Linked DNA regions of Saccharomyces cerevisiae S288C. The protein of the gene in region 1 interacts with the protein of each later gene in a biochemical or structural test. Each region holds a gene or a part of one and is shown on either strand. Other genes may lie near its edges. The genes, in order: GYP6 and YPT32.

The links.
Region 2: the proteins of GYP6 (region 1) and YPT32 form a complex in vitro, tested with the Saccharomyces cerevisiae proteins (2 studies listed by BioGRID).

The regions. Positions count from the first base shown.
Region 1 is NC_001142.9:357,716-361,716, reverse strand, and holds GYP6 (GTPase-activating protein GYP6), read left to right. Parts: upstream 1-2,040; coding exon 2,041-3,417; downstream 3,418-4,001. Other genes in the region: MHP1 (Mhp1p), read right to left, coding at 1-468; YJL043W (uncharacterized protein), read right to left, coding at 814-1,587; succinate dehydrogenase SDH9, read right to left, coding at 3,789-4,001.
Region 2 is NC_001139.9:92,014-95,279, forward strand, and holds YPT32 (Rab family GTPase YPT32), read left to right. Parts: upstream 1-1,778; coding exon 1,779-2,447; downstream 2,448-3,266. Other genes in the region: VAM7 (Vam7p), read left to right, coding at 1-369; NCS6 (Ncs6p), read left to right, coding at 499-1,578.

The DNA.
Region 1 (4,001 bases):
ATGGCCAAACAGACTCTTAAAGAATCCGACCTTCTTAGGTGCAGGAGCATCTTCCGTGTGATGGTGGTGGCGGTGGTGGTGATGATGTCCGGAGTCAGCCTCAACGTTAGACAGGTTAGTCTCCACCACTGACTTCGACCTACCCCTAGGGGGAGGAATGTTTGTGGGAACGGATGTAGACCCAGCGTTAGCACGCTGATTATCCATTAGCAAGCTCGCAGCTACGGAGTGACGGCGTCCCTTATCGTTTGAAGAAAGAATGCTGCTGGAAGAGTCTACAGACGTTTCGAAAACGGGCGGGCGAGCAGTGTCCATCTGGATGTCAGGAGCCACACTGTTGGCCTTGGACTCGGATTTCCCTGGTCTGGAGCTCTTGCTGGTGGAGGCACTGGGCCTGACCAACCATCCAACGTCGATGCAGGGGATTCGGTGCTCCTTAAGCAACTTTTGCGTGTCCTTGGAGTCCATGGAGCAGTTGTAGGGCTATCTTGTATATTTTGCGTATTTAAGTGCGATTATGCGAGTGCCTGAGTGGTGTATATGTATGTACATATGAACGCTTTAAGGCAGAAGCTTGTTATATAAAGGAGAATGAGAACGCAGCATTTGCTTGTACAGCCAGATGCTTCGAGTGAAACACCGTTGCGTAAATTGAACCTGAACGTTCTAGATGCGAAAACAATACAATAAGCCAATAACGTAAACAGTCGCGCAGCACGAGGAAGGGGGGAGAGCAAGCTGTCCAGGACGGGTGAACATCGAACGGGGCCGACGGCCTAAAAGAGAAGCTGATGAAAAAAAAAAAGGCCCGGGCTACCATTGGAACAACGGGTCCGTAGTAGGTAGCGCACCCAACAGTGCCTCCAACTGCACCACACACTTGCGCTGTCGCCCTTTTGATGCTTCGTCTTCGTCCTCTATCTGCATGTTGTAATCAGACCCGTAGCGCGACCAAATGTCGTAGTCGTCAACATGCGGTGTGGCGTACACCAACTCCGGTGACGACGTCCAAAGTAGCTGCAGCGGCATTTCGCTCGCGTGCCTGATCTCACAATCATGCAGCACAGACCTTAGGTCCCTGGTGCTCATTGCAGTTTCGCCAATAAACAGCATGGGGATGATGATAGTCCGTGACTGTTGCCAGGGAAATCTCCACTTGGGTCGGTTGGTACAGCCTGTGTGTTTTACCGTTGATGGGCCCATGTAGTGGGACCAGTCATCCAAGAGCCTAGCATAGCTTTGACGTAGCGGCGCCGTCGCGGCGCCGCTTTCAAAGCTAGCCGGGTTGGCGATCTCGATGGGTATTATGGTGTTGCATTTCTGCAGGAGGTCGATACAGTCGGTGATCTGGTGTAGGGTCATCGCCATAGCAAACAATTTCTGCGTCAGTCCGGCAGTACGGCCACTAGCAAAGTCTTCGTCAGTAAGTGCCACAATGTCGTGGCACTTTGGTACTAGACTTTTCAGAATCTCCAATTGTTCGCTGATGGCTTCACAGCGCTGAAAACAGCAGTAAGTGTTGACCAACTTACCAAAAGATGCATTTATATCCGTGTAACGCTCCAGTCCGGAATAATCAACAAACATGGCTTGCGGTTTTCCTGAACACTCACCTTTTAGTATTCTTTTTTTCTTTTTTTTCTATTTTTTTTTCGACATAATTATTATTTTTTCTTGAATTATTTACTGACGCAAAGTTCTGACCACAGAAAAATTCCACGTCTTATTTTGCCCATGCCAGCCGTAGAATACGCACACGTGTACGCATGCTCCAAGTGTTATTGTAACTGGATGGTGCGCTGGTTTAGGCCTGTAAGCGGTCGTAAAGGAAAACCGGATATTATGTTACCCGCTTCTCCTACGGCATTACTAGTTCCTTTTTTTTTTTTTTTCAATTTTTCCATTGAGTTTTCCATAATCGGTACAGCAGCGTTTAATTTCATTACCTTTTTCAGAACAATGGGGGAGAGTTGTCAAGAGAATTGGCATACATAGAGAGGGTTAGCTGTCGTGCGTTTGTATTTTTTCGCTTATGCAACCATGAAGGATGTCTTACAATGGGCGATTGACCACTACGAGACAAGAGACCAACTGGTGCAGAAGGGAATTTGGAAAGGTGAACTCTACCATGACTCTATCTTTAAAGAAAATAGTAGAGGCTGGCTCTGGAAAGCTTTGCTTCTGTGTGATGAAAACAACAACTGCTTGTTAACTGATAACTTTAAAGGTTTGGACCTTAACCAGTTCGGCTTGGTGCCAGTGCCTATGCTGGCAGATGGCGACAACTATGACGAAAATCATAATGCAAATGTACCTAAAAGGGTCTTGCACTCGAACGTTTCCTCCTCAGTGGGAATCAGGAGGCTGACTCCCGTCGAGGCTGTTGAAAAACATCCCTTGTCTGATGACAATGACAAAACTAAAGGTTCTTTGTCCAAGGGAAGTGATGAAAAGCCGTTGACACTGAGGGAAACTCTGGAAATTATAGATTTGGACCTCTCAAGGATAATGCTTGACGATATATTTCAGGAACCCAAGGTTCATGCTCAAATGAGACAACTTTTGTACAATTACCTGCTTATACATCAAAGCGAACACCTACAGTATAAACAAGGGTTCCACGAAATATTAAGCGTCATTTATCTGCAATTATATCACGGTACAGATCTCGATAATACCGATTTGCAAAACGTTCTGATTATCTTTAACAAGCTAATGAACCAAATCGAACCGATTTTTTATAACGAAGAAAATTTGATTAACTGGGATAAGAGAGTATTCACGAAAATCTTTAGGATTTGTTTGCCAGACTTGTTTTCAAAGGTTTTTTACCAACCACCAAAAACGGGCAGCGGGAAGAAAAAAAACGTAGACCATCTGATTCACTCCAACCTAATCTGGCTCATCCGATGGACAAGGTTGTTATTTTTAAGAGAATTACCCTTAAAATATGTGCTAATCGTTTGGGACCACGTCCTGACGTTCAATTATCCCTTGGATATTTTCATTGCATGCACTATCATCACCCTTTTGTTATCCATTTACGATGAGCTTCACGAACTAGTGAGCCAAGGTGACTATGAACATACGAATAATAACGATGAATTTGTTGAATTGATTTTGCATTTCAAGAAAATTTTTGAAAAGGAAGATGCCAGTAAAGATGATGAAAAGTTTTTAGACCTGTGTAAGGTCACTGGAAATTTATGTGAATTGTGGTATGGAAAAAATTACGACGATATGAGATTGATTTGCGACACTTTTATAAATGCGAAGTTCGGCATAAAGACTAGTGATGTTTTAAGTATGGAAACAGCAAAGTTGACTATTGATCCTAATAGACAATCACTCGAAAACAAACTGAGGGAGAGGGTAAGGCAAACAATTTTGAAGAACAAAAAGAAAATAAGCCAATAAGTTTTTCTTGTCAATTACTCGTTGTTATTTGTTTGAAATCCCAGCCTGCACACCCGCACGACAAAATCAAAAAAAAAAAAAAAAAAACCCAGCTACCACCAACAAACAGATAGCCCACATGTCATATTTCCTAATGAGCTGGTTTCCCTCTGATATTTTTGCATATTGCAGCTCGACGTATATTGTACTTCAATGTCTTGCATAAAATTATATAGCATAATAGATAAGGTGTAAGTTGACAGTAAACGAGTACTATTGACCAAGAATCAATGAGAGAGATAGAGAGAAAAATAAGAAAAAAGGGAAAGATCATTTTTGCCAGATCAATAAATAAGTTTGCCCTCCAAAATAAATAAATAAATAAATAAGAATTAATAGGATCTGACAGCTGGAGGGACTGGGGCGCATTCATTCTCATCTAAAGTATGTGCGATTACATTCCTGTACTTGATTTTTACAGGTGTTGATGTCCCCTTTTGCCATGATAATGTGTGCTTTCTCCAATTCACATCATCTCTTTTTGCATAGTCCTCTCTCGCATGAGCACCACGAGACTCCTTTCTTTTGGAAGCAGAAACAGCCGT
Region 2 (3,266 bases), on another chromosome or scaffold:
ACTCGTCGCGCCGCTCTATTGAGGTCCTTGCTCAAGGAATGCGATGACATTGGTACAGCAAACATAGCTCAGGACCGTGGACGACTTCTGGGGGTTGCCACCAGTGACAACTCTTCAACCACGGAAGTTCAAGGAAGAACGAATAACGATTTGCAACAGGGGCAGATGCAAATGGTGCGCGATCAAGAACAAGAGTTGGTTGCACTGCACCGAATTATCCAGGCACAACGTGGATTGGCCTTAGAGATGAACGAGGAGCTGCAAACACAGAATGAGCTACTTACAGCACTTGAAGATGACGTCGATAACACTGGTAGGAGGTTACAGATAGCCAACAAGAAGGCTAGACATTTTAACAACAGTGCTTGAATTAATGAGTTACTATCCGGGTTACAAATCCTGAGAGTATATTTGTACTAAAAAAAAAAATTGTAAATCTAGTAATTGAAAAATTTTGGCGATGAGACGATATGGTAAGAGTAAAGCAAAGGAACCGTCATGTCGTTTACTGCTCCTTCAGATCCCGTCAATAAACCGACAAAAGTGAAGGTATCACAGTTGTGTGAACTATGTCATTCAAGAAAGGCTCTCATTAGAAGACCCAAAAACCTGTCTAAACTTTGCAAACAATGCTTCTGCCTCGTGTTCGAGACGGAGATCCATAACACTATTGTAGCAAATAACTTGTTTCAGAGGGGAGAAAAAGTAGCCGTGGGGGCCTCTGGTGGTAAAGACTCCACGGTGTTAGCGCATATGCTGAAGCTTCTGAATGACCGTTACGATTACGGCATTGAGATTGTACTGTTGAGTATTGACGAAGGAATCATCGGATACAGAGATGATTCCTTGGCCACGGTGAAAAGGAATCAGCAGCAGTATGGCCTTCCTTTGGAGATTTTTTCCTTTAAGGACCTCTATGATTGGACAATGGATGAGATTGTATCCGTTGCTGGTATAAGGAACAGTTGCACGTATTGTGGTGTTTTTAGAAGACAATCATTGGACCGTGGTGCTGCAAAGCTGGGCATATCTCACGTTGTCACCGGCCACAATGCAGACGATATGGCAGAGACAGTACTAATGAATATCCTACGTGGTGACGTAGCAAGATTGGAAAAATCGACTGCGATTATCACACAAAGTAGCGGCTCTCCCATCAAGAGATCAAAACCATTTAAATATTCTTACCAAAAGGAAATTGTCCTGTATGCGCACTACATGAAGCTGGATTATTTTTCCACTGAGTGTACCTATGCCCCAGAAGCGTTTAGGGGCACTGCGAGAGAATACATGAAGAATCTGGAAGCAGTGAGGCCCAGTTGCATTATAGACATCATCCAAAGTGGCGAAAATTTGGCATTAAAGGCTAAAAAATCTAACGCTGGAAAGAGAGTCGTCAAATTTGTTGACGGCAATAGATGCGCTAGATGTGGATATCTGTCGTCAAATAACATTTGCAAGGCGTGCATGTTGCTGGAAGGACTGGAGAAAAGTAGAGCCCAAGTGGCAATCGAGAATGACACTTCTGCCGATGGTGCAGCCTTGAAGCTGAGAGCTCTTGAGAAACTCAGCTTTTGACATATATATAGCTCGCAGTAGAAGAATGCAGCGTAACATAATATAATATAATATAGTACGGCGCGCCCTCCATTAGAACGCGCAACACAATAAAGACAAATAAAAGAATCAGCTATAAAGCTGGCCATTGCATGGTTCGCGCTGGAAAGAGAGGAAAAGCGTGGTGATAAAGAGCGAACCAAGCATATTGTTTTCCAAGAATGAGCAACGAAGATTACGGATACGACTACGATTATTTATTTAAGATAGTTCTTATCGGCGACTCCGGTGTGGGTAAATCTAATCTGTTGTCGAGATTTACAACCGATGAATTCAACATTGAATCCAAATCCACGATTGGCGTGGAATTCGCTACAAGAACCATTGAAGTTGAAAACAAGAAGATAAAAGCACAGATTTGGGACACGGCAGGTCAAGAACGTTACAGGGCCATCACGTCTGCGTACTACCGTGGTGCTGTAGGTGCACTTATAGTGTATGATATAAGCAAATCAAGTTCATACGAAAATTGCAACCACTGGCTTACCGAACTGAGAGAGAACGCAGATGACAACGTGGCTGTTGGGTTGATAGGGAACAAATCAGATCTGGCTCATTTAAGAGCAGTACCAACCGATGAAGCGAAAAATTTCGCAATGGAAAACCAAATGTTATTTACTGAGACAAGTGCTTTAAATAGTGATAATGTAGATAAAGCATTTAGAGAACTGATCGTAGCCATCTTCCAAATGGTAAGCAAACATCAAGTAGACTTAAGCGGGTCGGGTACCAACAACATGGGCTCTAATGGCGCTCCAAAGGGTCCTACCATCAGCTTAACACCGGCACCAAAGGAAGACAAGAAGAAAAAATCCAGCAACTGTTGTTAAAAATTTTGTGCCCTACTAAGGTCGCATGGTTTCATGCATATTCTGTCTACATATAACCCCCGTTAATAATGCTTTTATAAATATAATCAATTACATATACCTTCCCAAGTTATTTATTACTAACCTTCGTTGCACGCAAGAAAAAATGTATTAACGTACATACATTTTCTAAATAGACCTTTCCTGACGCCTGCATTTTGCAATAGCCGAAGATAAGAATATGATTTTTTTTTTACGATTTAAATATTCTGTTGTTGTGCAGTCTAAAAACACACGTGTATGTTTTTTTCCGCACGCATGAGCAGAATTAGACGGTTTTATAAACGTTCGCTCTGTGTATTTCACGTACCTTCCCGGATACAAATTTCGTCATGGTTTATATTGGAAGTTTTTCCGAAATTGCGGGTTTTGAAGGTTTATCCGAGACGACGTGAGGGGTAGGCAGGAGAAGGAAGGCTGTTTACGTACGCAAGGATGGGGTACGACAATGATTCAATTTCTGTTGCTAAGTTTTTTGTTATTTTTTCATATTGGCCTACTCATCTTTGATATCATTATTTTTTCGAATCTACATTAGAGCGTGTTTCGGAAAACAAACTCGCTCGATACAGTAATTGCGTTTTATTTACGGAAATTACCGTTCTCGGTTCCAAGAAGGTTAGAAAAATCGGTTGTCGCTCTTTCTTTCCCCCACTTGTAAAAACAAAGAAAGTATAAAATAGTTTATGGCCCTTAAGGCAGGCCTTGTTGAATTTGAGCTATACCTACCCCAATGATAGTTCTGTGGTAGTTTGTTTGAATATGTAATATGAGAAGCAC